Callithrix jacchus: one gene and its partners. The main gene of each other region encodes a partner of the protein of the gene in region 2 in a complex. Links are inferred from orthologs where the notes say so. Each region holds a gene or a part of one and is shown on either strand. Other genes may lie near its edges.

What was found. The genes of interacting proteins can lie anywhere in the genome.
Region 1: MYBL1 (region 2) and E2F4 share a complex: the UniProt entries of both Homo sapiens proteins name them as parts of the DREAM complex. The link is inferred for Callithrix jacchus from reciprocal best matches to the Homo sapiens genes MYBL1 and E2F4.
Region 3: MYBL1 (region 2) and RBL2 share a complex: the UniProt entries of both Homo sapiens proteins name them as parts of the DREAM complex. The link is inferred for Callithrix jacchus from reciprocal best matches to the Homo sapiens genes MYBL1 and RBL2.

Annotation. Positions count from the first base shown.
Region 1 is NC_133521.1:24,699,798-24,710,607, forward strand, and holds the start of E2F4 (transcription factor E2F4), read left to right. Parts: upstream 1-4,421; 5' UTR 4,422-4,468; coding exon 4,469-4,603; intron 4,604-5,030; coding exon 5,031-5,140; intron 5,141-5,280; coding exon 5,281-5,442; intron 5,443-5,733; coding exon 5,734-5,777; intron 5,778-6,647; coding exon 6,648-6,709; intron 6,710-6,944; coding exon 6,945-7,239; intron 7,240-8,496; coding exon 8,497-8,739; intron 8,740-10,651; coding exon 10,652-10,699; intron 10,700-10,810. Other genes in the region: EXOC3L1 (exocyst complex component 3-like protein), read right to left, coding at 460-679, 761-936, 1,346-1,391. UniProt on the Homo sapiens protein: Transcription activator that binds DNA cooperatively with DP proteins through the E2 recognition site, 5'-TTTC[CG]CGC-3' found in the promoter region of a number of genes whose products are involved in cell cycle regulation or in DNA replication.
Region 2 is NC_133517.1:22,487,796-22,498,610, reverse strand, and holds the start of MYBL1 (myb-related protein A), read left to right. Parts: upstream 1-4,658; 5' UTR 4,659-4,780; coding exon 4,781-4,839; intron 4,840-10,815. UniProt on the Homo sapiens protein: Transcription factor that specifically recognizes the sequence 5'-YAAC[GT]G-3'.
Region 3 is NC_133521.1:11,351,951-11,362,713, forward strand, and holds the start of RBL2 (retinoblastoma-like protein 2), read left to right. Parts: upstream 1-4,374; 5' UTR 4,375-4,491; coding exon 4,492-4,734; intron 4,735-8,931; coding exon 8,932-9,062; intron 9,063-10,763. UniProt on the Homo sapiens protein: Key regulator of entry into cell division. Directly involved in heterochromatin formation by maintaining overall chromatin structure and, in particular, that of constitutive heterochromatin by stabilizing histone methylation.

The DNA.
Region 1 (10,810 bases), on a different chromosome or scaffold from region 2:
TAAAAAAACCACAAATAAAAAAATAACCAGTAGAGTACTGGCCAATCTAAGAGGATCTTGGCAATGTCCTAGAGGCCAGGTGGGCCAGAGGTCAACACATGAACTCATGGAACACAAAAAGGCTGAGGATCCTGGAGGGAAGGCAGGGGAAATCGAGGGGCCCTGCCAGTAGTCACTCAGCCACTCTGTTAGGGAAGAGTTTCAATATATTGATAAGCAGGTGGCCAGAGTCATGTGACTGGGTGTCTGTCCCAACTCAAGCATCCCACGCTTGGGAACCCCAGGATGAGCCGATTTGCACCCTGCCTCATAGGCCATGGGCAGCCTGGGCTACTCTCTGGAAGGTCCCTAGTGTGCTGCTCTATACAGTTCCCCATCTAGTGCCCCAGCCCTTTGGTCAGGAATGTGTGTTTGTGGACCGACAGTCAGAGACTGAGGCCTAGGGTCCCTGCATCTCACCTGCCCGTAGCCGAGGCAACAACTGAGACAGGGCCTGCAGTTGCTTGTGCTGGGCAACCTGCTCCCGTAGGGGCTGTAGGGGCTGTGAGGCCTGGGACATGCCCTGGAGCAACCCACGAGCCTGGCTCAGGGCTTCCCGGGTTTCCTTCACGGCCTCAAGGGCCCGGGCCAGCTGCCACACACCAGTCTGCACGCCTTCCAGGTATGACTGCATCACTGACTGTGGAGAGATGGAGCCAGTGAGGCCTGGCCAACCCTGCAGCACAGTCCCAGCACCCACCCAACCCTGCTCCATGCCCACCTTGAGGCGTGCTTCCAGAGAGCAGGTACGCTGCACCTCTCGGCTGCGGTACTGGCCTAGCCTGGCCAGCTGCTCCGGCTGGTAGAAGATGCCCGAGGCCCACTTGAGCGCTGCACCCCGGGCTAGCTGCTCTGCCCGCTCCTGCTCCGGCCACTCAGGCCCTGGGCAGGAAGAGCCTGGGCAGCCATGTCAGTCAGGGAGGGGGAGGGCCCAATGCCCCCAGTCCCATCTTTCTTTTTATTTATTTTTTGAGGTGGATTCTCGTTCTGTTGCCCAGGCTGGAGTGCAATGGGGTGATCTCAGCTTACTGCAACCTCCGCCTCCAGGGTTCAAGTGATTCTCCAGCCTCAGACTCCCGAGGGGCTGGGATTATAGGCGTGTGCCACCATGCCCAGCTAGTTTTTGTATTTTTAGTAGAGACATGTTTCACTATGTTGGCCAAGTTAGTCTTGGACTCCTGACCTCAGGTCATCCACCCATCTCGGCCTTCCAAATTGCTGGGATTACAGGTGTGAGCCACCACACCCAGCCAGTCCCATCTTTGTTGCCATCATTCCTCCCCCAGCCCACTTAGAAGGTTCATACCAGGGGACAACGTGGGCCGCATTTCATCCTTGGCTGCTGAGTCCATTGCGGGCCTGGAGGAGCCGGGGCTGAGGTGGGCCCGGGGCAAGCAGGCAGAGTAGATGCCCCTCTGAGCTGCTGCCTCTGTCTAGGCCCTTCTGAGAAGGAGGAAGGAGGTTCTTCCTGGTACTCTCAGGAAATGAGAGGGAGGAGGTGTGATGCAGTGGGCACCTGGGAGGCTTTGCCTGCTAGGTTTCCCAGTTATGCCCCTGCAGATGCCAAGTGAGACAGGGTGGGCACAGGCCTCAACTGGAACCTGGTCCTGCTCTGAGCTGCACAGGACAATTTGGTACAGAACTTACCAGATTTGATCAGGCGTCCAGTTCGCCCTTCCCAAATGACCTTGACCTTGAGAACAGCCCTCTCCCCCGATGGAGCTGGGCACGCCTGCCACTTGCTCACAGGGCCTATGTGACTCCAGCTGACTCCAGCGTGCAGCTGAATTCCTCTCCCCAAGGAAGTCTTTCTCTCACTCCCCAGCCCAGAAGCCCCTTTTTCCCACCAAGGCTCCTCCCTCCCCAAGGCCACTGACAGAAAGGAAGGAAGCTGAGTCTCTGGCATTTTATTCCCAACAGGAAAAAGCATTTGCATGGAGGGTGGGGAGGGCTGGGCGCCACTTCCCTGAGCAGGGGTGGGCGGGATGTACTTGTGATCAACAAGTCTTGACCAGCCCACCCAGAACCTCTTAGTGCTCAGGACAGGAGACAGGGATTTGCTAGACTTGGCCTCAACCTGGGGTGGTGGGCAGTGTGCAGATATGAATGAAGATGACGTCAACATCACAGGATGGAAACTGTGTTGACCTGACTCTGAGGAGGGTGTGTACCTCTCCGGAGAAGTGAGAGGTGACAGGCTGTTGTAAAGAGGGGTGTGGTCGGGGGTGGGAGGATAGGGTCATGAAAAGTGTGTTTATCTTTTTTGTTTAGACAGCGTCTCGATCTGTCACCAAGTCTGGAGTACAGTGTCACCATCATAGCTCACTGCAGCCTCCTGAGCTCAAGCGATCTGCCTCCCTCAGCCTCCCAAAGTTTTGGGATTACAGGTACGAGTCACCACAACTGGGCAGCTATGTTTATCTTGAGAATTACAGGGACCCAGGAAAGGGACTACAAGGTGGTAATAATTTAGTGGATGTTCAGTCCACCACCCAAATCCACCCTTCAGGACAGAGGCACTCATTCTCCAAATGCGAGGAGTGTGGGCTGCTGAGGTCACACCACTGAGTCTCTCAGTCAATATTCGGTTGCAAAGGCATGGTACCATCTCGTGAACATGAACCCTTCAGTAGTGCTGCCCAGTTTCAGACGTCCCAGTGGGATAGGCTGAGGCCTATAATATAATCGCATCTCTCCAAGGGCTATAATTGCATCTGCCCAATTCTGCTTGTTTTACTCCCTTAAAGATGTGGATCCTGGCCAGGTGCGATGGCTCACGCCTATAATCTCAGCATTGTGGGAGGCTGAGGTGGGAGGATCACTTGAGCCCACCAGTTCGAGACTAGCCTGGGCCATATAGTGAGCCCCTCATCTCTACAAAAACTAAAAATAACGGCTGGGTGCAGAAGCTCACGCCTGTAATCCCAGCACTTTGGGAGGCCAAGGTGGGCGGATCACAAGGTCAGGAGTTTGAAACCAGCCTGACCAACGTGGTAAAACCCGGTCTCTACTAAAAAATACAAAAATTAGCTGGGTGTGGTGGCAGGTGCCTGTAATCCCAGCTACTCAAGAGGCTGAGACAGAAGAATTGCTTGAACCCAGGAGGCGGAGGTTGCAGTGAGCCGATTGTGCCCTTGCATTCCAGCCTGGGCAACAGAGTGAGAGACTCCGACTGAAAAACAAAAACAAAAGCAAACTAAAAATAAGCGAGCCAGATGTGGTGGTGCATGCCTGTGGTCCCAGCTACTTGGGAGGCTGGGGTGGGAGAATTGCTTAAGCCCAGGAAGCTGAGACTGCATTGATCCTGCCACTGCCCTCCAGCCTGGGCAACAAACAAATTCAGACCCTACCTCAAAAAACAGGTGTGGATCACCAACAAACTTGCTGCAAAATGAGTCCCATTTCCCAGAGAACCTGACCTGAAAGAAACAACAATGTTAAAAATAACAAAATGGCCGGGCGAGGTGGCTCACGCCTGTAATCCAAACACTTTGGCAGGCCAAGGTGGGTGGATCACCTGAGGTCAGGAGTTTGAGTGAGACCTGCCTGACTAACATGGAGAAATCGCATCTCGACTAAAAATACAAAATTAGCCAGGTGTGGTGGTGTGGGCTTGTAACCTAGCTACTTGGGAGGCTGAGGCAGGAGAATCGCTTCAACTCGGAAGGCAGAGGTTGCGATGAGCTGAGATTGTGCCATTGTGCTCCAGCCTGGGTGACGAGAGCGAAGATCCGTATCAAAAAAAAAAAAAAAAAAACTCTCTCTATAGATATACCCGTATATATATGTAAATTACATATATGTAAATATATATATATATATAAATAACAAAAATTAGCTGGGCTTGGTGGTGCGTGCCTATAGTACCAGCTACTCGGGAGGCTGAGGCAGAAGAATCACTTGAACCCGGGAGGGGAGGTTGCAGTGAGTCGATATTGCACCATTGCACTCCAGCCTGGTGACAGAGCGAGACTCCGTCTCTAAATAAATAGGAAAACAAACAAAAAAAAGGAACAGGTTTGAGGGAACAGATTGGGTTAGTTGGGTAGTGTGGTCTCCTCTCCCGAGATGGGTACTGCACAGAGTTGGTGATGTTGGGGCAAATTGGCAAGGAAAGTTCCGATGGCGCCCCTTTCTCTACTGCCAGGGCTGCCAACTGACATCCTCCTCATTCCTCCCCAACTTCATCCTCAACTCCCGGTATACCTAAGTAGTTTTCGTCTTATTAGGCGGCTGGACATTTGCTAATGGTCCCTAAACTTTTGCGGCTGCGCCTTCAGACAAAAATAGCGCCGCGTTCCCTAGAAGGGACATGCGGCGGAAGCGGAAGAAACGACTCTGGCTCCGGCGGCTAGGAGGGCAGGAACGGAAGCGGAAGTGGCGGCGGCGCCGGCCTGGCCTGGCTGAGGGGAGGCGGCGGGCGGGTGAGATGGCGGAGGCCGGGCCACAGGCGCCGCCGCCCCCGGGCACTCCAAGCCGGCACGAAAAGAGCCTGGGACTACTCACCACCAAGTTCGTGTCGCTTCTGCAGGAGGCCAAGGATGGCGTGCTTGACCTCAAGCTGGTGCGGCCCGGGCTAAGGGACGACAAGGCGGGGTGGTGGACAAGGCCTGAGCCGGTAGCGGGAACCCCGGGGGCGGCCAGGCCGGGTCCTCAGAGAGCTGGCCGCCATCGTGTGCTTTCTCACAGGAGAGAGGCCGGGGGATCTTTCATTCATTCAGCCGAGGCCATTGAGCGACAGCTATGGGCCAGGCTCGGGGCTGCAGGTGTTTGTCCTCGTGGCCCTTCCTGGCTGGCTGGGAGAAGAGCTTCAGAACACCAGTTCAGGGCTGTGCGCCAGGTCTCTTCTCACCCTGCGGTCCTGAGCTGCAGTAGCACCTGAGAGGCACTACAGGGTTGGAACCCAGGTTACTCCCTTCCCAGACCACGTCTCAGGGTGGCTGGGGGTACACCCGAGAGTGGAGCTGATCATTCTCTATTCTGTCTGCCAGGCAGCTGACACCCTAGCTGTACGCCAGAAGCGGCGGATTTATGACATTACCAATGTTTTGGAAGGTATCGGACTGATCGAGAAAAAGTCCAAGAACAGCATCCAGTGGAAGTGAGTGGGGATAGTGGGAGGGTAGTAGAGTCTCCCACCCAGAAGTGTCAGGGGTGTGGGGTGGAGGATGTGGAAGAAAGCAGGGGCCGTGGGACCCAGAGTTCTCAGCAGTTCCTCTTGGCCCCACTCCCTGGGCTCAGGGGTGTGGGGCCTGGCTGCAATACCCGGGAGATTGCCGACAAGCTGATTGAGCTCAAGGCAGAGATCGAGGAGCTGCAACAGCGGGAGCAAGAACTAGACCAGCACAAGGTGTGGGTGCAGCAGAGCATCCGGAATGTCACAGAGGACGTGCAGAACAGCTGATATCCTCCTGACGGTCTCTGCTGTGGCGAGTGGGCAAGGGGCCCTCTGGTTCAACTTGCCCTGAGCCCTCTCCCTCTTGGGAGCTTGTCCTGTAGCCCCTAGCCGTGTCCCAACCTCAGGCTCCCTCCTCAGAGCCCCTTCCCAGTCTTAGCCTGTGATCCCTCCCCAGGTGGACCCCAGTCCCCAGAACTTTCTCCGAGGGCCTATGTGTCAGACTTTGGCTAAAGAGTTGGGTCTTCTCTGTAGTCTGCCGTCTGTCACCATAGGGCCATTCTCCTTAACCCTCACACTTTGGCCTACGTCACTCATGAGGACATCTGCAGATGCTTTGCTGGTGAGCAGAGCCTGGGTAGGGACAAGGGGGTGGGCTGGGGCACTGGGCTCAGTGTCTCAGGAGACACTGTCTCTTGAGTGTCTCTCAAGAGGGTTTCTGGGGCCTGCTCAAAGAGGACCCAGGCAGGGTAAGTCTTCTGTCTGAGGGGCACTGGGACCCTGTGGAGGTCAGCTGTACTGAGAGGGTACAGGAATTTTGGAGTGAGTCCCTGGGTTTGTTCCCATATGCACTGTTACCTGGATTTGGCTTCTTGGGCATGACAGAGGCACAAGGGAGAAGAGGGGGAGAGAGGATATGTGTGTATTTGCTTGTGTGCAGACTCTTACGTGCTCGTATGCAGGGTATGGGGGTGCCCACTTCCAACCTGTTATTTACTTGTATTGTGAATACAGGATCTATTCCTTTTTCTTTTTTTAAAGAGACAAGGTCTCGCTATGTTGCCCAGGCTGGTCTTGAACTCCTGAGCTCAAGCTGTCTAACTGGCTTGAGCCCCTAAAGTGCTGGGATTATAGGCCTGAGCCACTGTGCCCTACAGATGTGTTTCTTCTCCATCTTGCATCCCCAAGGCTGGTCATGGGAAAGGGATGTTGGCCTTGGCTAGAACACCTTCACCTAGGGATCAGCCATTGGTGGAGTGAGGTGCCTGTGGCCAGTGATCTTTCACTCCACATACTTGAACTCAGATTTCCTGGTTACTGACCCTCAGAAAGAGAAGAGCTTTAGTTCTGCTCAGCCACTGTAGGGGATTGGTGAGACCCACTGACTAGCCCCTCAGAGACTATGATCTCCTGCCTTGCTCCAAAAGGCAGGCACCTCTGTTCCCAGCTCAGATTTAGCCTATGGGCTCTGACCCATTCTCTGTCATTCTAGGAGATACCCTCTTGGCCATCCGGGCCCCATCAGGCACCAGCCTGGAGGTGCCCATCCCAGAGGTGGGTGCTTAGCCTAGGCAGGCGGGGTCAGCTGAGGGCGGGTGCTGGCTGTGGAGTCTGATAAGTCCCGGGTGGGGCAGGTAGGGGGAGGCCTGGAGTTCGGGGTTATCTGGGAGGATGGGCAGCCTGGGTGGGAGAGGATACTGTGGTCCTGACTCAAGAGTTGGGCAGGAGTCAGGACCACAAGCGTGCTTCCAATTCTACCCATCTCCCATCCCTTGCCACCCATCTCTAGGGTCTCAATGGGCAGAAGAAATACCAGATTCACCTGAAGAGTGTGAGTGGTCCCATTGAGGTTCTGCTGGTGAACAAGGAGGCATGGAGCTCACCCCCTGTGGCTGTGCCTGTGCCACCACCTGAAGATCTGCTCCAGAGCCCACCTGCTGTTTCTACGCCTCCACCTGGGCCCAAGCCTGCCCTTGCTCATTCCCAGGAAGCCTCACGTCCAAATAGTCCTCAGCTCACTCCTACTCCTTTCCCTGGTAGCACAGAAGTCCAGGGGATGGCCAGCCCAGCAGCTGAGATCACAGGTGAGGCACCATGGGAGCTTGTGACAGGGTCCTAAGAGGCAGTAGCTCTGTGTTGTGGAATGCCACATGCAGAGTTGGAAGAGACTCTTCAGATTAGGGACTGTCCTTTTCCTGACCTCTATCTAGCCTTCCTTTGCTATGGTAACAAATGAGGTTTTTTTGTTTGTTTGAGATGGAGCCTTGCTGTTTGAGATGGAGCCCAGGCTAGAATGCAATGCCAGGCTGGAGTGCAATGGTGCTATCTTGGCTCATGCAACCTCCACCTCCTGAGCTCAAACAGTTTTCCTGCCTTAGCTTCCCGAGTAGCTGGGATTACAGGTGACCACCACCACACCTGACTAATTCTTGTACTTTTAGTAGAGATGGGGTTTCACCATGTTGGCCAGGCTGGTTTTCAACTCCTGACCTCAAATGATCCACCTACCTTGGCCTCCCAAAGTGCTGGGATTATAGACATGAACCACCGAGCCCACCTGAATGGGGCTTTTTTTTTTTTTAAGATGGAGTCTCGTTCTGTTGCCCAGGCTGGAGTGCAGTGGCATGATCTTGGCTCACTGCAACCTCTGCCTCCTGAGTTCAAGTGATTTTCCTGCCTCAGCCTCCTGAATAGCTGAGATTACAGGCACATGCCACTATGCCTCGTTAATTGAATGGGCCTTTCTTTTCTTTTTTGAGATGGAGTCTTGCTCTGTCACCCAGGCTGGAGTGCAATGGCTTGATCTCCACTTACCACAACCTCCACCTCCTGGGTTCAAGTGATTCTCCTGCCTCAGCCTCCTGAGTAGCTAGGATTACACACACATGCCACCATGCATGGCCAATTTTTTGTATTTTTAGTAGAGATGGGGTTTTACCATGTTGGCCAGGTTGGTCTTGAACTCCTGACCTCGTGATCTGCTCACCTCAGCTTCCCAAAGTGCTAGGATTACAGGCCTGAGGCACCGCACCTGGCTGAATGGGACTTTTTTTTAACAGGGAACCTCTGACTCTGGGAAAGGGACATTGCTGGTGGCAGTCCCCCCACCTCCATTGCCCTGGTAGCCCATCTTGAAGGAGGGTCACAGCAGACATGTTGTCCATTAGTCTCTTTCCATAGGTCTGGTGCCCCTGTCTCCTATAGCGACTGATTTCCAGGTTGCCTCCTCTGGGGCGACTGACAATGCCTAATTCTCCATGAGTCTGAGAACCAGGCTTGTGGTCCTCCTGGCTGTGGGGCCAGCCAGATTCAATAACCTCTTCCTGACCTTGTGTGACTAGGTTCGGGGGCTGTCATTGCAGTGAGTGGCGGCCCTGGAACTGATAGCAAAGACAGTGCTGAGCTCAGTTCATTCCCACTGGGCCCGACAGCACTGGACACCCGGCCACTGCAGTCTTCTGCCTTGCTGGACAGCAGCAGCAGCAGTAGCAGTAACAGCAGCAGCAGTAGCAGTAACAGCAGCAGTTCATCTGGACCCAATCCTTCTGACTCCTTTGAGCCCATCAAGGCAGACCCCACAGGTGGTGAGTACCTTCCTCCCAGGGGCAGAGTCCAGTCTCAGTCCAGCCCTAGGTCAGAAACACAATTGGGGATGGAACCTAGCTCCTGTCAACCTTGCCGGACCAGAACTCTCTGCCAGCACCTCTGGGGCAGTGCTGATGCCCTCTCTAGTATCCCGTCCTGGGCTAGCACAGAACTCCTTGCCCTCTCTTCAGCCCTTCCTGCCACCCCTTGGAGCACCATTCTCGTCTCACTAATTGACACTTCTATCACTTTCTCTCATCTTCTCTGTCTCTTTTCTCTCTGCACACCTTGAAAAAGTAATCTCCATTCCACATTTTGATCTCCTAGTCACCTTTCAGGTTGGAGCAGTCACTCTGTAGCCCCAGTGTTATAGCAGTACCACCTTTTTATTTATTTTATTTTATTTATTTATTTTTGAGATGGAGTTTCGCTCTTGTTGCCCAGGATATAGTGCAATGGTGTGTCCTCGGCTCACTGCAACCTCTGCCTCCTGGGTTCAAGCGATTCTCCTGCCTCAGCCTTCTGAGTAGCTGGGACTATAGGCATGTGCCACCACACCCGGCTAATTTTGAATTTTTAGTAGAGACGGGGTTTCTTGATTTTGGACAGGCTGTTCTTGAACTCTTGACCTCAGGTGATCCACCCACCTCATAGGTGTGAGCCACCACGCCCAGCCAGTGGTGCACTTGAGAAGCTGCCGAAGGCTTGCCAAGCCCAACAGCTCTCCAGCGTGTTTTGCCTGGTGCTCTCTTGGTTCACGTCAATGTTCTTTTTTCTTAGGCTTTAATGATGTCAGCTCTTGGCTCTCCTACCTCACTGGCTTCTTTTTGAACTCTTCCTGGCACATCCTTAAACATTGGTGCTTTCGAGGTTTCTGTCCCATTCCACTCCTGGAGATGGCTGCAGCTCTGGGTGAACGAATTCCCAACCACTGCCTGGCCTAGATCTTTTCCCAGTCTGCACACTTTGGTGTCCAGCTGCCATCCTCTGAACATACAATGGACACTTTATTCCCGCCTGTCATCGACTGAACTCAGTTTCCTTCTGAAGCTTGCTTTCCACCTCTGTGCACCCTACCGTTGGCTCTAGTTGTCCAGGCTTGACCCTTGGCTCTCACTCTAATTCCATCTCCTCCCTCCTCCTTCTGCTGCTCACCCCATGTCAGCTCAGCAAGGTCTGTCCCAGATGTCCCCTCTTATCCTCTGGTATCCTCAGCACTCAGGATGACCCCTAGCCACCTCTGTACTGGATTCTTCAGGATCTTTCTCTTTACCTGACAAATGATCTTTCTGAAATGCAGGCCTGACAGAAATGTGGCATTTCTGTGTTTGCAAAAGTACCTTTAATGGCTCCTTGAGGGCCACCAGATAAGATCTGAGCTCCTGAGCTTGGCATGTGAAATCCCTCATGGTCCTCTCTAGTTGCATTTTCTTCTGCTTCCCCTGTGTCCAGGGGACTTCACTGCAAATCCCCTGACCAGAGATTTGTAGTGAAGTCATCACCCTGTAGCACCACCACCTCTGCCGGCTGACCTGACCCAGGGTCTGGTCTCTGAGTCTTGCACAGATCAGGTACTCAGCAAGGATGGGACAGATGGGGTACCTTCTATCAGACAGGGTGTACATGCTCAGCCCAGAAAGGGAAGGAAGTCTGTTGCTCTTCTGTGGCCTTTCAGAGGTAGAAAAGTTGTACCAATCACTTGCAGTGGGCCTTTGATACCCTGGGCTCGGTCCTGAGGAATTCCAGTTTAGCAAGTGAGGCCAACAGTGCCAGGTTGGCCTAGGCAGGCCCTACGTCTCCTCGGCTGTGTGGAGTCTCAGGGTGGGTGGTGTAGGATCTGAGGAAGGCAGGGGGATGTAGTGGGACCAAGCTGGACTTCTGAGCCCTGAGTATGGCTTTCTTGTTTTTCAGTTTTGGAACTCCCCAAAGAGCTGTCAGAAATCTTTGATCCCACACGAGGTAGGCTGCTGCATTCCTTCCTGGGGCTAGGGTAAAGGACACAGCTTGTTGGGTCCTAGGGCTGTTTTTTTGCCCTTTTGAGGACCTTGTGATGTTATGATAACTGGGACA
Region 2 (10,815 bases):
CCACCCACCTTAGCCTCCTAAAGTGCTGGGATTACAAGCCTGAGCTACTGCGCCTGGCCAATGGTTACTTTCAATCAGAAGACATGCACTTTATCCAATAAAAATTGGGCTGAAGAATTTAGGAATTCTAAATAAAATTTTGAATTGGAAAAATAAAAATCTACATCATGGAAACATAAATATAATAAGGAGAGTGACAGGGGCTGTGAGTGCCCCTTCATTCATGATACTCTAGCTGTCAGGGCTGGGATTTGATTTTACCCTAACAAGCTAAGTTAAACTGTTAGTGGCTCATGGATCTTTTTCCCAGAAGACACCAGACTCTTAGGTCAAGGACAAAGTATTGGTATTACTTACAACACAACAAACACCTTGAGCGTCAATGTATTTGTGCCAGTTACTCTTGCTTTCAGGTCCCATGGGGCAATGTAATGGGCCCAGATGGATGTCATGCATACAGTGGATTTGTGCTACAGTTGAGAAACACTGAACTTGGGAATCCACTGCTTTTATAGTAAGCAGTAAGTAAATCTGGTTTTTGTCTTGGATTGAGATGTTACGTCATCTCTCAAGGCAACTAGCTGCAAGCAATCCTTAGAAATGGCCTGTGTAAAAGAGTACTCGGGGCCTTGCATCTTGGCACACCCACCAAGATGTATATAGGAGTGCAAGAAGACCAAGGAAGATTGTTTCTCTTAGTAACCACACCAGCATCTCTAAAGAATGGCCCTGGTTGGGCACAGATGGCTCATGCCTATAATCTCAACACTTTAGGAAATTGAGGCAGGAAGACTGCTAGAGCTCAGGAGTTCAAGGTTACAGTGAGCTATAATCACACCACTGCACTCCAGCCTGGGCAACACAGCTAGACCCCATCTCTAAAAACTTTAAAACTAGACCAGGCTTCAAAAGAATTGCTTGAACCTGGAAGGCAGAGGTTGCAGTGAGCTGAGATTGCTCCAGTGCACTACAGCCTGGGCAACAAGAGCAAAACTCTGTCTCAACAACAACAACAAAATAATAATAGGCTAGGCTTAAGTGGCTCATGCCTATAATCCTAGCACTTTGGGAGGCTGAGGTGGGCAGATCACCTGAGCTCAGGAGTTCAAGACCAGCCTGGCCAACGTGGCAAAACTCCCATCTCTACTAAGAATACAAAAATTAGGCCAGGTATTGTGGCTTATGCCTGTAATCCCAACACTTTGGAAGGCTGAGGTGGATGGATCACCTGAGGTTAGGAGTTCCAGACCAGGTTGGTCAACATGGTGAGACTGCCATTTCTACTAAAATTACAAAAAATTAGCCAGGCATGGTGGTGCATGCCTGTAATCCCAGCTACTGAGAGGCTAAGGCAGGAGAAATGCTTGAACCCAGGAGGTGGAGATTGCAGTGAGCTGAGATCGTGCCACTGCACTCCAGCCTGGGCAAGAGTGAGACTGTCTCCAAACAAACAAACAAACAAACAAAACTCCCAACATTAGCTGGGCATGGTGACACATGCCTGTAATCCCAGCTACTTGGGAGGCTGAGGCACGAGAATTGCTTGAATGTGGGAGGTGGAGTTGCAGTGAGCAGTGATTGTGCCAATGCACTCCAGCCTGGGCGACAGAGTGAGACTCTGTCTAAACAAACAAACAAAATACCTACTACTTGATAGCACAGGTGACTATAGTCAATAATTTAATTGTACACTTTAAAATAACTGAAAGAGTGTAATGGGTTTGTAACACAAAAGATAAATACTGGAGGGGATGGATACTCCATCACCATGATGTGATTATTTCACGTTACATGCCTGTATCAAAACATCTCATGTACTCCACAAATATATACACCTACTATGTACCCACAAAAATTAAAAAACAAAGCCACTATAAACGTTTTCCAAAATGGCTTTCTACATCACTACCAGCAATGTATGCAAATTATACTTGCTCAGCATTTTCATCTTCACCAACATTTGTAGTCAGTCATTTTCCACCCTCATTCTAACAGATGTGTAGTAGTACCTCATTGTGGTTTAATTTGCATTTCTCCAATGACTAATGAGGTAGAACATCATTTCATGTGCCTGTCAGGTATATATCTTGTTTGGTGAAATCTGTTTAAATCTTTTGCCCGTTAAAAAAAATATTTTTTCCTCACTGAGTTTTGAGTTCTTTATATACTCTGAATAAAATCTTTAAATGTGCTTAAAAAAAACCCTCCTTAGTTTATCATACATCTGAGCATGTGTATTCAAATGACTATGGTGCACTTTAATTCCATACTTTGCCCTGAGTTTTATAACTGATTTAAGTAATTTCACAATGTTATCTTTCTGGGAATCGTTTTTCTCCATATGTAAAAATGAGGGAAATTTGTTTTACTGTCAAAATGTAAAACATCTGTCTTCAAGCTCTAAAAAAGGTATTCTGTATAAAATTGAATACATTCTAAAATACAGCAGAAGCTCTGCTGCCTGTTAGATTTAAATAAGTGCAGTAATGTATGACCCAGGGGTAAACACGAAAACAGTGAAACAGTGATTCCAAATGACATTGGGAACATAATGAAATTTGGGAACTCAAATGTCTAAATTAGTTTCTAAATTATTATTATTATTTTTAAACTGAACCAGTAACCCATTAAGGAATGATCTGGAAGAAACACTTGGCCGGGTGTAGTCCCAGCTACTTTGGAGGCCGAGCCAAGAGGGTCGCTTCAGCCTAAGAGTTCAAGGCTACTGTAAGCTATGATTGTGCCACTGCACTCCAGCATGGGCGACAGAGCAAGACCTTGTCGAGAGAGAGAGAGAGAAACCTGTTTTACCTTCCCAGAACCTATACCATGAAAAAGAGAACTGTTAAAAGTCAGTGGGTTTAAGTTTTGACAGTAGTGTATACAAGCTTCTCTCAATTCAGCTCCTTTTAATTCACTCTGCACCTGCATCTGATTTGCAAAAGATGATGCGTAAAATTTCAAAATAGCAAGTGTCAGTTTGTTACAGTGTTAACATGTGGCTCAGTGCTCTATGCAGTAGACCATGTTGCCTTGCAAATTTAGATCCTTATCCGACTCTAACTGTTACTGTAGCAAATCTACTTTAATGCTACTTGAACAGTTTGTAGTTATTAGACTTGGAACTTCGAGTAGCTGCAACCGCTAGAAACTCCTCCGGTGGTTCCCCCCCTCCCTAGTCTCTCCAGAGGAAGGAAGGTCACCTTCTACACTTTAACTACCATGCTCATTCGTCTGGGCAAAATGCCCAGTCCACTGCCGTCTTCACGCGTTATTCTCCAGTACCGGGCTCCTCCGCCGCGCACGTTATTTCCCGTAGAGCTGGGCACGAAATTGAGCACCTCGAGGACCAACGGCAGCCAAGGATTATCTCCCGTTCCCGTTTCAAGCACGTCTCCCACTAGGAACTTTTTTCACTTGTCACGCTTCTGCTGCTTTCTGAGGAAAATAGACGATACTTGGTTTCCTGCCAAAGTCTTCGTCACTCTCGTAGCTATGACGTCTGGGTAAAAATAGCTCACATGTTTGCTTAAAAAATAACGGCCGCGCAAATTTGTGGTTACATTTGTCTCGGGTCAGAAGACCGTTCCTCCTAACTAGTGAGGAGGGAGACGCGTAAGGAGTGAGGAACGTGGCCGAGGCGAGGCTGCAGAGACTTACTCCCGCCGGGAAGCGGGACCACTCACTCTGCCAGAAACTCCGTCCGCTTACCCTAGAAATTTGGGGCGGCTGGACGGTTCTGGCGCCGCTTCCGGACCCGCTCCTGGCGAGCGCAGGAACTCGCTCTCCCAGCAGGCCCTGCGCGGTGCGCCTCTCGGCGCGTTCCGGGTCCTATGACAGCTCGATCGCCCTGCCCCGCCCGCGCCCCGCCCGCGCCCCGCCCGCGCCCCACCCGCGCCCCACCCGCAGCCCCACCCACTGGCTCCCGGCTCCTTCCCCGGCTCCCGCGAGTTCCAGTCCCGGCTTCCAGCTCCCCAGCCCCGCCCTCAGTCGCGCGCGCTCTCCCTGCCCCGCCCTCACTCCTTCGCGTGCGGCCCCCACAGCCAATGAGGTTCAGGGCCGCGTGCGCAGATTCAAACGGCGGCTCTTGAGGGAGGCTGGGCGCGAGATTCGGCGGTGCGGACAAAACCCTGCAGGAAACTACGATCCCTGCAGAACTGCTAGCTGCGGGTAGAGAGCGGTGGTCGGCGCCTGTGGCGGAGTCGCGCTGGGACCGGGGCGGGGAGGCTGAGAAGCGGTGGGATAGGCCGGCGGAGGGCGGGAGCGCGCCTTCTGACATGTTGGGGGCATCCCTGGCCCGGCCGGGCCGGGGCTAGGAGCAGCGCTGTGGGCAGGGGCCAGGAGCGGGTCGCGGTCCGCCCCCGCTGTCCCTCCGTCGCACCCTGCCTAGGACTTGCGTTCCGCACTCGGCTGCCTTCGGAGGGAGCGAGGGAAGCGGCTAGAGGGTCAGGGAGAAGGAGCATTCGCCGGAGGCTAGAGGAGGCTGACCCGCGTCCCCGTCCAGCCCGCCCCTATGCGGTACTTGAAGGATGGCGAAGAGGTCGCGCAGGTGGGTGGCACCCCTTTTGCCCAGGCCTGTCGGCGCCTTCTCGGCTCAGATTCTCTTTCCTTTCCCCCTGCCCCCTCCCGCCATAAGGCCCTCCCCGGCGAGGGCAGAGGTTTTTCTTCCCGCGGCCGCCTCGATGGCCGGAGCACGACCGCGATGTGTGGAGAGTTGGGGACCAGGGTGTGAGACGCGGGGCGTAAGAGATGCCCAGGTTGCTCCGTGGTTCTCCCCACAATGCGCGTCCAGACTCCAGTCCTCACGCTGCCACTTCTTGGAGGCAGGTTTCTTGCCAGGTAAGTCGAGCGCTTTTAGGGAGTTCGCTACGCAGAGAAAAGTGGCTTTGTCCTGTCGGGAGGACTTGAAAATGGTGTTCCGGCTACTCTTCTGAATAACCGTACAGTCAAAATAGGAACTACGCGGTGAACCTGGGTGGCCACCCTTCTGCCAACTTGGCTACCTCGAAACGTTGTGGAAAATCCTCTGGGGAATAGCTGAGAGGACCTTTTTGATGTTTTCTGTAATTCCCATACCCATATTCTCAGCTTTATGTATATATGTATATTTTAATATTTTCTACTGGGACCATGCCACATTGTTACTATTAGTAGCTTGATGTTAAAATAAAGCAATGTGTTTGATTCACTTAATATTTTGAGTGTCTGTGTTTGGCTCTGACCGTATCTAAGTGTTGCACAGAGGTAAGGCATATTTTGGGGGGGGGGGGCCTGGAAAATGTGCTAGGATGAATTTATATGCATTACAGCAGCTACTCATAAATTATGTGGAGTAATTACTCAGATAACAAAAATACAGGGTATCTTCTGATTTTCAGCATTATCAAATAAACCTGAAAAGATGTTTGGCAGACTTTCCAAATATTTTACTTACCTAGATCCACAGCCCTAAAGTCTTAACTAGTGATGTATTTCCTAAGTTGAAATTTAGTAATGGAGGTCATTCACTGCATATTTCTGCTAAAAATCGGCAGTAACTATACATAATAGTTTTTTGCTTTATTTGTCTGTTAAGCATCTGCTGTGTGCAAGATGCTTCTGCAGAAATCTTTAAGTCCCTGTAAGCTTATTAGTTTTGTAATAAGTTATAGGACAAACCCTTGAGATGAAATAAATTTATACACAGATCCCTCTAGAACAGTTTTCAAAGTTTGCACTATTGACATCATGGACCAGTTAATTCTATGTAACGGGGAGATGTTTAGTAGCATCGCTGGCTTCTACCCAGTAGAGATAGTAACACTCCACTTACCTCAGTCATGACAGTAAAAATGTCTCCAGACATTGCCAGATATCTTTCGGGGGACAAAAGCACCCAGGAAAGAACCACCCCTCTAGAACTTCAAGGACCCAGTTAACATCAGTCTTCAGAAAAGATAGATATTTAAAGCTCTTGTAATTATGATTGCTGAAGTACCGGTTTAGGCTTTTTGAATTTTTAAATATATAAAAAATTAAAAATTATTAAGATGACAAATGAATATATCAAATTTATTAATGTTTGATATTATCTACTTATCAGTATTTATGTTAATTTTATTTGAAACAGTTATTTGGCTCATTCTGCTATCAGCATTTAGTTAAATTAAAATTTTGGGTAAACATGAATGTTTAAATGTCAGAACTTTATCCTTCCCAGTGGGTTTTCTGTCCATTTCCTATGTATGTAGTGCATGTTTCGTAATAATAGACAAAGAAAGGAAAAATGACTTAATGTTAGTTTCCCTGTATAAGTTGTTTTATTGACAATACTGTGACCTTGAAATTTAAATATTAATTATATTTTTGACATTTATTTCTTGCCAGTTGTATAAGTTAATTTAAACACAATAGAATGATTTAAAGAGGTATAAATCTGGAGTAATTAAGTGTGGTGGGGTGAAGCTACATTCTGCCTGGGAGTATACAGATAGAGGATGTGGGGATACATTATCATCTCTGAATGATACGTCTCTTAAGTCTTCATACCCGAATATGTTGCATAGTCTACATTTCTTGCATGTGTAAATATGATTTACGTATCTTAGAAGATAGTAGATGCTCTGCTTTGTGCTTCAACAAAAAACAAATTAGAGTGTGAATTGTTTTGAAGCAAAAATAGTCATTGGGAAAAATATCTCTTGCCTTTTAGCTAAGTGTCTTAATATATTTGAACTCAATTCATAGTTGAAAGGGAAAAGAAATAATTCAGTTACTTCAGGTTGTAATTTGAGATCTCCAGTATACAACCATGTAAGCATTCAAGTGAAAACTATAGTTCGCTGTATACAAGTTTTGCCTAAGAGTATAGGCGTAAATCCTGTAATACATGTTTATGCTATGTGATCTGGAAAAAAAACAACAACAAAAAACAAAGTAGAAGACTAAGTGTTACCTCAAGTGTGAAACAACTGCAGGATGTTGGTTGTTTTGATCTTTGTTTAAGATAGCTGTAGTATCTCTCCTCTAGATTTACATACAGGAAAAGACTTATTTGTATTGTGACTTTAAATAATTTTACATCCCACTGGGAGTTGTAATGACAATTTACAGGCAATACTAAAATTAATATGTCTGTTATTAACATATATTTGACTTTTAAGCATATTTATATATACATAATTAATTTTAGATTTAAAAGTTTTACCCTTTAAAATAAACTTTTATAAAATATTTAGAAACGTATTTACTAGTAATAGATTATTTACACTTGAGATGACCTGTGACTGCACTAACTGAAAAGATAAAAGCCAGCTCTTGAAATAGAAGATGTTTTTTCAGTGGTATGTATATGTGTGTGTGTAGGAAGCAATTTTACTGTGTTGTTTCCAGCAAACCGGGTGGGAGTGAAATTATACTGAAATATGAGAACTGATCTTTTAATCGGTTTTGTCATTAACTGGCAGTGTTGTTTTGGGGAAGCAGGTAAACTCTGCCTCAGTTTTTCATCTGGTTAATATACGGATTTTGGATTTTATGGTTTGTAAGGTAGTTTCTAGCTTTAATATATATATTTGAAGACATTTTGTAATCTTTTCTCATTTAAAAGCATATCCATACTAATGAAATATAAATTTTCTCATATTGCTTTTGTTTATGGAATTGCTAGGTAGAACTCTCTTCATTATTGCTATTAATAACGATCAAAGGTTATGTAAAGTTAAATTTGTCTTACTGTGATAATGCTGGTTTGCACAATCCAGATTTGGAAATAAAATATTCATGTCTGCAGTACATCATATGAGCCACTGGGTGGCCTAATTTCACTTTATTAAATCAACCTGGTAAATTTTCATACCTTGAATATGATTGGACTTTAAAAAAACTAAGTGGCCAGCTCCTAGTCCTCCAAGATTGTATAATAAAGATGTATTCTTTTTGTCTGTTATGAAGAATTCAGACCTGAGTTAGTTTGTGATTAAAGATATTAAGTTGATGCAATTTTACTAGAGCAAAATTTCATAGAACTATTTCTTTTAGAATACAAATTTTTTAAAAATTTCAGTTTCCTCCTTGGACTACCTCATTTACTGGTTTTAGGTGAGATAATTGTTGTCCTCTAAAATTGAACTTCTAAATGTTCTATCTTAATAATAGCACGTGAATTATTTTATCAAGTATGTATTATTTCACAGACAGTCCTAACTATCACGTCCTGTTAGCTCACACCCCAATGTAAAGTTACTCTTAACTATTGTCCTGGCCTAATGAGTTATACAATTTTTTTGTGTGCTTCCTTTCACTGTTTCATAATCACCCTAATCACTTTAATTCACAATCTATGGCTGGGCGCAGTGGCTCACGCCTGTAATCCTAGCACTTTGGGAGGCTGAGGCAGATCACTAGGTAAGGAGTTCGAGAACAGCCTGGCCAACATGATGAAACCCTGTCTCTACTAAAAATACAAAAATTAGCCAGGTGTGGTGGTGGGTGCCTGTAATCCCAACTACTTGGTAGGCTGAGGCAGGAGAATTGCTTGAACCTGGAAGGCGGAGGTTGCAGTGAGCCAAGATTGCACAGTTGCACTGCACTCCAGCCTGGGCAACAGAGTGAGACTCTCCCTCTCTCTCTCTCTCTCTCTGTCTCTCTCTCTCTCTCTCTCTCACACACACACACACACAATCTATGAAACTGTTTACATTTGAATGTAGTAGTTTGGTTATATATTAGACATTTGCCAAGTAGATGTTTTCTTTGACTTAAGAAAACTGGCAGAATCATTCTGGAAACCAAGTCCTGGGCTGGAGAGTCAAAAGACTAAATTAATCTATTATTGCTTTGTGACTAGAGAAATAATGTTATTTTCTTTTGCTATCTTCTAGATAATTACACTAGGCTAGAAATGGTTTATTAAACTATATAGTAGGAAGCCGATTTTATTAAATTTTACATATTACCAGCATTGATTACTTTAATACAGAAATATCAAAAGATTATATGAAAGTAGACAAATAGAGGAGATACATTTTGATGGTGTCTAACCACTTTTCAGTGATGGGACATTTTTGTTGTTAAATGGTGAAAGTGGAATATTGGTGAGGTGATTTGTGGGGTTTTATCCTTTCCTTGGTGTCTTTGCAAGTTATGGACATTCTCAGACATCTTTCTTTGTAGCTGGTGATGTTGATACATTTCTAGGATCTTTTCTGTGGTCACATGTATTTGAAAGTTAACATTGTCTTTTCAATACTCACTTAAATATATGTAGAAATAACTTGATGCCAAAACTAAGAAGTAGGTAGACTCTAGGAAAGTCCCAGTGGTAGAGAGATAATTCTAGGAATTCTACTTGCTCCTTCACACTTACCCACTCAAAAAGCCCAGCTTACTGAACGTTGGATGGGCTATATAAATCAGTGTCTGAAACTGATGACCATGCTGAAATGCAAAACAGAGAATGAAGCCTCATGTAGAAACAGAAATTTCTCACAATAAAGTATGTGGATAAAAAGTGAGGGGCAGAATTTTATGGTTAAAATGAACGAGTTTTTAGGAAAATTACTCCTTGGAAACTAGTCTTTTAAGACCAAAATAATGTTTTTGGACTTACATCCTTAAAGTATTTTGTAAGAACCTTAAAGTAGATTTCATAAATGGGATGTATATAGTTTTGTGAATACTCGAGATTTATATGGGTAAATTCCCAAGGTAAAAATTGTTTTGATTTAGAAATAATCTATATTTTAAAGCAGTCTCAAATATGCTGTAATTTTATGTATTTCATATTATTTCAAATATTATGAAATTTTGGGGATCTGAAGAGAGGAGAAGCAAAAGACCCTGTGAAAAGCATGCCTGAGGGCTACCTGGGGTGTCAGGAAGTGGTAATGTTGCTGGTGGCATTTCTAAGAAAGGTTAGACAGTACGGTAGGTACCTTAAAAGAACCTTTTCTATGCTGAATATTTAAAAATGTTTGTTTCAGCGGGTTCTGCTTCTTAAAATTCTACCATTTGGAGGTATTTTTTGGATTTTGAAAGTCTTTTTTTTAACAAATGAGAATGCCTTTTACCTCTGCCTAGAGGTATTTTTATTTGTTAAAAAGTTTTCTTTCTCAGATCCACTTTGAGATCACATGTATTGAGGAAGGTAGATGTTTTGGTTGGATTGGAAAGAAGTGAGATCATTTTGGAATATAGAGCACTTGGTTGAGCTGGGAGTTTAGGGAAGATTGTTCATTAGTTTTACAACTATTTGAGTGGCAGGTACTATGCTTGGTCCTGAGATATGAACATCATAGACATGGTCTGTACTCATGAGCTTACTTTTTGGATGGGGAGGTTTGCAAATGTGATAAACATTAAAAAGAAGGGGCCAGGTGTGGTGGGTCACGCCTATAATCCCAGAACTCTGGGAGGCCAAGGCAGGTGGATCACAAGGTCAAGAGATCGAGACCATCCTGGCAAATATGGTGAAACCTCGTCTCTACTAAAAATAGCTGGGTGTGGTGGTGTACACCTGTAGTCCCAGCTACTTGGGAGGCTAAGGCAGGAGAATTGCTTGAACCTGGGAGGTGGAGGTTGCAGTGAGCTGAGATAGCGCCACTGTACTCCAACCTGGCGACAGAGTGAGAGTCCCTCTCAAAAAAAAAAAGAAAAAAAACGAAAAAGAAGAAGAAAGGGTAAGGTGCTCTGAGTACATACAAATAGGACAGAAAGCTACAGTGTGGTGTTTTATCTGATTCAGTAGCTTTTTAGAAATATATGAAGTTATTGAATCCTGAAGCATGTTGAATTTAACAATTTAATATTGGCCAATCAGGTGATATTTTTGATAGC
Region 3 (10,763 bases), on a different chromosome or scaffold from region 2:
CCTGAGTAGCTGGGATTACAGGCACACGCCACCATGCCCAGCTAATTTTTGTATTTTTAGTAGAGATGGGGCTTCACCATGTTGACCAGGATGATCTCGATCTCTTTACCTCGTGATCCACCCGCCTTGGCCTCCCAAGGTGCTGGGATTATTGGAATGAGTCACAGCGCCCAACCTCTTCTTCTTAAAAAGCCACCAATCATACTGGATTAGGACCACACCCTTATGATCTCATTCAACCTTAATTACCTCCAGACAGTTCTATCTCAAAATACAATCATACTGTATTTAGGGATTAGGCCTTCAACATATAAATTTTGGAAAGACACATTCAGTCCATGGCACACTCCTAGCTATTTACCCAAGAGTATTGAGAAATATATATGTAATGTGATAGCAGCTTTTCTCATAATTATCCACAACTGGAAACAACCAAGATGTCTTCAAGAGCTGAATGCATAAATAAATGATGTGCATTCATGCGATGAAGTACTAATTATCAATAAAAAGGAACAGACCCACTGAGACATAAAATAACTTGGATGACTCTCAAAGGTATTATGCTAAATTGAAAGAAACTTGGCCAGGTGTGGTGGCTCACACCTGTAATCCTAGTACTTTGGGAGGCTGAGGTGGGTGGGTCACTTGAGATCAGGAGTGAGACCAGCCTGGCCAACATGGTGAAACCTTGTCTGTGCTAAAAATATAAAAAAATTTTATAATTTTTTTCCAAAGATATTGAACCCACAGATATGGAGGGCTGACTATATATATATCATCTTAAAAAATATGGCAATCAGATTTGTGTATCAAGATAGCCATTCCTGCTTCTGGGAGGACAAGGAGGTAAGATAAGGAAAAGAAGTGTTGGGTAAGTGTATTCTAGAACTCTCATTTTGAAACTATCTTGCAAAAAGTATGATAGAAAATGATGGTGAAAGAGATCTGACTAAACCATGTCATCTTGTCTTTAACCTCCAAACTGTCCTTGTACCTTCCCGGGCACAGGCTGAACTAACTATAGGAGGAATTTAGTTTATAGTTTAATTTTGAAACAAAAATAATAATAGTGCTTTCCTGAAACAAACTCCTCCCTTGCCTGGAAACCAGACTGCCTTTGTAGAACTAACAAATTAGCAACATGATTAGGAAATTTTGATTTAGGGGCCTTGCAGCCAGAGGCAACAAGATTCCTAACCTCCCCAGTTGCTCCAAGGGATATCACTATTGCAAAACCTAAGATTGGTGTTCGAGATATTTTTAGACCCTGCATTCTGATGGAGCAGCTGTCACCACCCAGATTATCCGGCTCAACCAGTTCTGCAATCCCACCAAGGAACAGAAGACACCAGGAAGAACCTGCTTAGACTCCCTGTGATTTCATGCCCAATTCCACCAATCGGCGTTCTCCCCTCCCTAGACCCCTGCCCAGCAAATTATCCTAAAAAAATTCTAGTCTCCAAATTTTCAAGGAGACTGATTTGAATCATACAACTCTGGTCTCCCATTATCTGGCTGTGCATATATTAAACTCTTTCTCTACTGCAATTCCCTTGTCTTGATAAATTGGCTCTACCTGGGCAGCAGGCCAGAAGAACTCACTGGGCAGTTGCAATTTCAACTCCAAGCATCTTGCTCAACAACTAAGACTCAATCAGTTAAACCTCCATGATCAAAAATGGCTGTGACTTAAAATCTCCTTCTTTGAAGGAATGTTAATGTCAAAGATAATTTTTTTGTCCTACAGATTTCAACTGGGCAAAGCTCAGTGAGAAGATTCATCCCTGTTATATACAACATCAGCTGGAACAGCCTGACTGAAGGCTGAAGGATCTGCTTCTGCTTCTAAACTGGCTCATTCAACCCAGCCGAGGGTCAGGGGCCTTGGGTCACCATGTGGTGATAACTGCAGAATTCTTGGCACATAGAGGCTCCTTCCAAACCTTTGCACTTAAGAGATGATCATCTCTCAAGAGCAAAAGAAAAGGAAGAAAGAGAGAGGGAGGTAGGAGACAGTGAGGATCAAATTTTTGTGTTGCTTCTGGGAGATCAGTGTCAAGTCTCTGAAATGATCCCAGGCCCTCTGCCCCCACTGTCCCATTGAAATCATCAGGAAGACTAAGGCCTCCATCTTCTAGTCTATGTGGGGACAGAAGCCTGATTTTCATAGTTGCTGGCTAGGAGACACAACTAGCCTAAGGACATTAACATTGACCCGCCCTTTGTAATTTTTTTTTTTTAATAAGATGAGGTTTCACCATGATGGCCAGGCTGGTCTTGAACTCCTGACCTCAAGTGATCCACCTACCTCAGCCTTCCAAAGTGCTAGGATTACAGGTGTGAGCCACCGTGCCTGGCCCCCTTTGTAATTTTTTACTCAAGCTCTGCTCTCTCCTTCCTCTCCTCTTTTACTCTTTCTTTAAAAGGCCCAGTCACATTTATACAAGTTGGAATGAAGCTCAGCTCTTTCCCCTGCTGTCTATTGGTAGTTACTGGGTAAAATCTGTTTTTCACACTTTAAATAACGTTTGGCTTGTTTATCTTTGACAGACAGTGACCTGGTCTTTCCCACACAGTATGTTGGCTGGGTTCAAAGAGTGAATGAGGAAAGATTGAGAGAATGAGAGACAGAGATAGCACATGTGCCAGTCAGGTGAAAGACCTCTTGCGTTTTATGACTAAGCTTCATAAATCGAATAACAACCTCAAGAAAATTTAACTTCCCCATATCAGAAGCGTTCAAACCAGGGTGACTCCATTTTGAGTGAAGGATAGGAAAAATGGGGCTGGGGCTTGCTAGGCTGCACTCCCAGAAAGTTAGGTACTCCTAGCCTCTAGATGTTTACAGTTAAGGGAACAGATTAATAATGTTTACGAAACAGACCCAGACTCGGGAGCGTCCTGATATCTGGTATCTTGGGAACAGAAGCATTCCTAATTTTGCTTTAAAGATAATAATATTGATTCTTGCAAAATATAGTAATTAAGAAGATTAATTCTTTATCACAAATGCTTGTAGCAGAGCACATCTCACCATGAATCTTTTTTAATCTTATGTATAAACAAGTATTGTACCTAGGGTGGTTCATTCTTCCTCTTACTTTCGGGAATGTCCTACTCTCTATGGAGTAACTGTTCTTTCATCACATTACTTTCTTAATAAAGTTGTTTTTGCTTTGCCCTGTGGACACGCCTTGAATTCTTTCTTTTTTTTTTTTTTTTTAAGACGGGGTTTCACCATGTTGGTCAGGCTGGTCTTGAACTCCCGACCACAGGTGATCCGCCAGCCTTGGCCTCCAAAGTGCTTGGATTTGAATGTAACCGCCCAACGGATTCTACTTGCTCACTGCCCAGAGTCGATTTATCAAGACAGGGGAATTGCAATAAAGAAAATGTTTAGTTCACGCACAGCCAGCTGAACCGCAGAGAGGAGTTTGGTTATTCTAATCAGCTTACCAGAAAATTCGGAGACTGGGTTTTTAAAAATAATAAACTGGTGGGTAGGGGACCAGGGAGTGGGGAATGCTTATTTGTCAGGTGGGAGATGAAATCATAGGGGGTTGAAGTGGATCTTGCTGTATTCTGTTCCTGGGTGGGATAGCAGAACTCGTTGCGCCAAATTGAGGTCTGAGCGGCCCCAGCTCGTGCATCAGAATGCGGGGTCTGAAAAATATCTCCAGCACCAATCTTAGGTTTTACATAGTGATGTTATCCCTAAGAGCAATTGGGGAGGTTAGGAATCTTGTAGCCTCTGGCTGCAATTCCTAAATCATAATTTCTAATCTGGTGGCTAATTTGTTAGTTTTATACAGGCAGACTGATCCCCAGGCAAGAAGAGGGTTTGTATTGGGAAAGGGCTGTTAACATCTTTGCTTCAAATTGGAACTACAAATTAAATTTCTCTTTTAGTTAGTTTGGTCTGCGCCCGGAAATGAACAAGGGTAGCTGGGAGGTGAGAAACATGGAGTCATTTAGGTCAGATCCCTTTCACTGTCCTAACTTTCTCACTGTTAGGATATTTTGCAAAGTCGGTTTCGTGAACTAATACAGACAAGCCCTTGCTATTATAGTTATTTTTTAGATAAGGATATCCAGGTGATGAGGAAGTTTTACTTCTGAGAACAGCCTGGATACGAAACCTTTACACGTCAGTGTCTCTTGGACATTTTCTCGTCTGTACAGCCTTGTTGAATGTTCTCACGATGGGGAGGTATGTGCTTAAAATGCGGGGAAGGTGCTTTTATTTCACCCCTAGTGAAACTGGGCGAACTAATTTTTTTTAAACACGATTTTTGGCCCCCGTGAACTGCCGGCCTGGACTACATTTCCCAGCAGGCCGTGCTCAAAGACTACGGGTGCCTGCGGGAGGTCAGCGACGTTGGCAGCGGCACAGGCGCGGTGCGGACGACGCCGGGCGGTAGCTTCGCGGTTTGAATGGCTGAGGGCCCGGGCCCTCACCTCACTTGAGGACCGGCTGCCTAGGGGTGCGCTATGCCGTCGGGAGGTGACCAGTCGCCGCCGCCCCCGCCTCCTCCTCCTGCGGCAGCGGCAGCCTCGGATGAGGAGGAGGACGACGACGGCGAAGCGGAGGACGCCGCGCCGCCTGCCGAGTCGCCCACCCCTCAGATCCAGCAGCGGTTCGACGAGCTGTGCAGCCGCCTCAACATGGACGAGGCGGCGCGGGCCGAGGCCTGGGACAGCTACCGCAGCATGAGCGAGAGCTACACGCTGGAGGTGCGCTCGCGGCTGGAGGGGCGCTTCCGGCCTAGTCGGCGTGAGCCCGGTGCCTTCCGAGCCGCGTCGCGCGCCCCGAGGGACCCTCGGGTGGGCTGCAGGGTCCCAGCCCGGACAGGGGTGGGGCCCCTCAGTGCTATTCCGAGCCTCTTAGCCGCTCCTTGGGCGAACGGGGTCTCTCCGCGCTTCCCTGCGGCTTCCGAGTGGGGAACGCCCCTTGCCCTAAAGTAGCACAGCGAGGCTGAGATAGCGCTGGGGTCCCGATGAGGAACATGGGTGTGTGTGGCCCATCTGACACCCCCCCCCCCCACCCGCCTTGTTAGTAGAATGAACCGGTGTCGCTGTCAAGACCGCACGGAGGAGGGGAGGGGCCTTTCCTTATTTGCGCCGCGATTAATCGGGTTGTGGCGCCTGGGTCTCCAGGCTTCTCCGTCTGTTCGCTTCCCGCTGTTAACCAAATCGCCTTTGCCCAGGCGTTGGAGGCGTTTGAGTCTACGCGCTGATGGGTGTTGGGCTATGTTTATGTCTGTGTAAACAAATTAAGACCCATTTCCTCCCAGCCTAGATGAAATGAGCCCTCCGCCGACCCGGATACAGATACATGCCCCCATTTGTCACTAGGATCAGGACTGTGGCTACCTCGAGGGCCTTTTGGTCACCCTGGGTATTGCACCGGACTCCTGTTGTTATCGCGATCCGGGCGCGTTAGGTCGCAGCCTTCGGACAGGGCTTGCAGATGAGAAAAATGGCCATTCTAGCCAGTGACTGTCAGCTCTGTAGGCACCTCCCCTTCATGCGCCAATGGGAAGTGACACGGAAGTCCGGATTGTTTATCAGCTGTTTGCCTGTGTGTATGTGGCATTTAAACCTGAGGCCATTTGATTTCTTAAGTAGTTTTATATATACTTTGTAGAAAAAGTGGGACAAATAGGCCCGGATGCAAAGGCGTAATCGACGTATTATTTATAGTATGTTTTTGCCTATGTGTCCGGAGTGGTTATTTTAAAATTTGTATTTGCATTAATAGCATTTTAATTCAATTACTAGTTCCCTCTTTGAATTGTTATATCTGCAGAAGAAAGATAGTGTATGGTGCCTTTAGAACCTGACAGACCTAGGTGACTTTGAACAATTTACTTAGCCACCAGAAAGTTTAGTTTTGTGATCTCTGAACTGGAGATATTTGTGTTAACCTCACAGAGCTGTTAAAGGTTAAATAAGGTAATAATGTATTTTCTGGCGCATAAAGCACCCATATGGACTGTGCTTTCAAGTTTACTAAACTCTTTGTATATTTACATGATTTGGCTGAGCAAGCTCATCTCTCGGTGACTTTCTGTAGTCTGGCAAAGAGAAGGACTGGTTGGCTTTTTTTTTTTTTTGAAGGGCATTTTAAGGACTTCTAAACAAGTTCTTAATTTTACCCTCAGGATAATCCTGTAAATTAGATAGAACAAGCATTACCACCATTTAGTTATTTCAACTCATAGCGGTTAATGTGTATGAACTCTAGTGGTATATCGCAAGTGTCCCATAATAGGTGGTTAGTAAATTATTTTTGAAAACACATGTTTGATTACTCAGATATTTTGATTACTGAGACTTTAGGTTCAGCTTCTTAGCCTAGTTTACTCAGTAATTGAATGAATATTAATTCATCAGATATTTCTTGAACACAAATATTACTTGCTACACACTGTTCTAGGTGCTGGAAACAGAGCAGTAAACAAAGCCTAAAAATACCTGCTCTTGTGAGGCTTATAGTCAGGTATGCTGTGAGATAATGTGGGATGTCATTCTCACGGCAGTGGAAGGGAAAATAAAGCTCATAGGAAATTTAATACAGATTATGGGCTATGGAATTTTAACTCGATTTCTTGTATTTCCTGTGCATTTTTAATTTGTAACTCATTCTGACAGCCCTCAGCCAAGAAAATGCAGCCTCTGAGACTGTTAAGTAATTTCCCCACTGTGTTAGAGCTACAGTGTGTCAGAGCCAGAATCTGAAACCAGATTTATTTGACCCTGTAAGATATGGCCATGATTTGTTAATTTTGAGGATAACTATTTTTTAGTAATATGCAATTTTTCAACAAATATTTTTTAGGACCCAAGATAAACTAGGCATAGAGTCTGCTCTTTGCATAGATTATTTAAAAGAGCTTACTGCTCCATTTTGCCATCTAAGCGCTGTAAAATTCTCACAAGACTAATTCTTTTTTTTTTTTTTTGAGACGGAGTTTCGCTCTTGTCACCCAGGCTGGAGTGCAATGGCACGATCTCGGCTCACCGCAACCTCTGCCTCCTGGGTTCAGGCAACTCTCCCTGCCTCAGCCTCCTGAGTAGCTGGGATTACAGGCACACGCCACCACGCCCAGCTAATTTTTTGTATTTTTAGTGGAGACGAGGTTTCACCATGTTGACCAAGGATGGTCCTGATCTCTTGACCTCGTGATCAACCTGCCTCGGCCTCCCAAAGTGCTGGGATTACAGGCGTGACCCACAGCACCTGGCAAGACTAATTCTTTTCTTCTTTTCAGGAATGTTATAGTTGTGACCTTTCTTTCTTTCTTTTTTTTTGTTCTCCCTCCACCTTCCAAGTAGTTGTGAATTCTCTAGAACCAAAATGGACCATTATAGATTATCTTTTAAACCCTTTATTAAAGCACAGGATAATGTTGTGACTGACTTTATACTTTCTAAGAGATTTGATATAGTAGAGAAATGCAGTAGTTATAAATCTAAATTTGCTTTTACATTATAAATAACGAATATTGTGAAACCATCTCCCAGAGATAAGTGTAATACACAAACGTTGGCTGGTTTTTTTTGACAATACATCTGTGCTATTAGTACATATAAATGGATTTTTAAGATAGTCTATGTATAAATGTGAAAAATGAAGAACTTCCAGTTTTTCTTATTTTCCTTTAGACCAGTAATGGATACAGTGAAACTAAAGGACATCTTCCATCCTTGCTCTCTTTTATAGGAGTAGTAAAGTTGTATCACTTCTTGAATAAAAAAGAATTGTGAGGATGATCTTTTAGAAGCAATGCCTTAAAAATTATTATTGTTTAATGATAATATGTTAGTAATCTACAATAGTTTCATTTGGTTATAAGAATAAATTTCATGCATTCATGTATGTATTTTGATTAGGTATAAAATTAGTGGCTGAATGTCCATTCAAGCTTAATTTTGTATTTCTATAATTTTCTAGATTTTGAGCAAGATTAAAAATACAAACAACAATATTATGTCCATTCCGATGGCTATATAACAAATTACCTTAAAACTTAGGAGCAGAAAACAATTTGTTTTGCTCACAGGTTCTGTGAGTCAGAAATTCAGGCCAGGGACAATATTGATATCAGGTTTCTGCATCAAAATGACTGGTACCTCACCTGGAAGACTTGAGCAACTAGGAACTGGCACAGCTGGAGCTCATTGGGCATCTCTGTATGTCTGTTCCATGGTGGTCTCTCCAGCATGGTGATACCGGGTAACTGAATTCTTGGATGTTTTTTTAGGACTCCCAAGGCATATGTCCTAAGAGAAAGAACCAAGTGGAATCTATATTGCCTTGTATAATCTTTAGAATTACATAGTATCACTTCTACCTCTGCTGTTGATAGAGACAGTTAATCAGTGTGCAGACCCCTGCCCACCTCCATGGTGAGGGAACCTTCCCTGCCTCTCAGTAAAATAATGTCAATGTCACATTATAAGAAGAACATGTGGGGCCAGGCACAGTGGCTCATGTCTGTAATCCCAGCACTTTGGGAGGCCGAGGTGGATGGATCACTTGAGGCCAGGAGTTTAAGACCAGCCTAGCAAACATGGTGAAACTCCGTTTCTACAAAAATTAGCTGGGCCTGGTGGCACATAGTCCCAGCTACCTTGGAGGCTGAGGCAGGAGAATCACTTGAACCTGGGAGGGGGAGGTTGCAGTGAGCCAAGATCACACCACTGTGCTCCAGCCTGGGTGACAGAGCGAGACTCCATCTCAAAAAAAAAAAAGAAGAGCGTATGAGATAGGGTTCTTATTGAAAATAAATTTCCCACAAAAATATAAACACTTTCTTTTATTTTTTCACCCTGCACCACCATATAAACATTTAAACATACTTTAAAAAAATATTGAAATAGATATATAGCTTATTAATTAAAAATGGATTTTCTTTTCTTTTACAGGGAAATGATCTTCATTGGTTAGCATGTGCCTTATATGTGGCTTGCAGAAAATCTGTTCCAACTGTGAGCAAAGGGACAGTGGAAGGAAACTATGTATCTTTAACTAGAATCCTGAAATGTTCAGAGCAGAGGTAACTATGTTAGAGTTTGAGAAGTAGAGTATGGCTTATATGAGCTTATAAATCTTAGTGATAGTAACAATTCTGTTTATCATTTTCTGAGCATTTGTACCTGTGGACGGGTGAAATTAGATGCTAAAATTAGCATCCAATGATTTTCCTTTATTTGTATCAAAGTTGGTATCCATTATATTTTATTTCTTTGGTGAAAATATTTAAATTTTAATGTATTAGACACTTGTATTGAAGAGTTTATTATTTTATTTTTATTTATTTATTTTTTTGAGATGGGGTCTTGCTCTGTAACCCAGGCTGGAGTGCAATGGCGTGATCTTGGTTCACTGTGGCCTCTGCCTTCTGGGTTCAGGTGATTCTCCTGCCTTAGCCTCCTGAGTAACTGGGATTACAGGCATGTGCCACCATGCCCGGCTAATTTTTGTATTTTTTTGTAGAAACGGGGTTTTTGCCATGTTGACCAGGCTGGTCTTGAACTCTTGACCTTGTGATCTGCCCACTCCTGCCTCCTAAAGTGCAGGGATTACAGGTGTGAGCCACTGTGCCCGGCATTGGAAGAGTTTATTTTTAAAGGTTATAACATTGTGTAATATTGAGAGAAATGAAGGATATTGAGAAACTGTAGGAGATACTATAAGTTGAAAAGGTAAATAAAATATTAATTATTTGGTATTGTACTTAGAAATATGTGTACAGGACTTGTGGTCTTAATATAAATGGAACGTGTAAGTATTTCTCGGTTTCCTGTTTGGAAGAAAAATGACATGATTATAATCCATTTTAGAAAGAGTCAAATATGTTTAAAAGAAGAGGCAGAAATTGCTTTATCTGTTGTATAATTAAATTGATTACATTCTTTTTTTTGTGCCTTTTAGGTGAATTGTCTTATATAGCTTATTAAAGATAAGTGGAAAAATGATGTCTAATATTTGGGGGGAAATTATCACTGTCAAAATTTATGGATCTAATAGTTAAAAAAATCATGACTAAATAAAAAAATTGACCAGGTGTGTTTGTGCATACCTGCAGGACAAGCTACTTGGGAGGCTGAGATGGGAGGATCACTTGAGCCCAGAATGTTGAAGCAAGACCTTGTCCCCTACCCCCTGCCAAAAAAAAAAAAAAGCTTACTATTAAAGTAATTAACAGGCCAGGTGTGGTGACACACACCCGTAATCTCAGCACTTCGGGAGGTCAAGACTGGTGGATCACTTGAGGTCAGAAGTTCGAGACCAGCCTGGCCAATATGGCAAAAACCCATCTCAACTAAAAATACAAAAATTAGCTGGGTATGGTGGCGTGTGCCTGTAATCCCAGCTACTCGGGAGCCTGAGGCAAGAAGATCACTTGAGCCCCGGAAGCGGAGATTGGAGATTGCAGTGAGCCGAGATTATGCCATTGCACTCCAGCCTGGGTGAGAAGAGCGAGACTCCATCTCAAATGAAATAATTTACAGTGTCATGCTCTAGCTGTAATTTTTTTTTAACCGTTAGCTCCATCCTGAGTTACATTGACCAGACAATCAGTATGCAGAATTATATTAAGAACTACTAACAGGGTTAATAAAATGAATAAAGAATATGACTTCACAAAGGTTATAACTCACATAGCTAATAGATACAGGAAAAGATAATCTCACTAAGAAAGATTTTCAAAGTAAAAGGATAACATTTTATTCTATTTATTTATTTATTTATT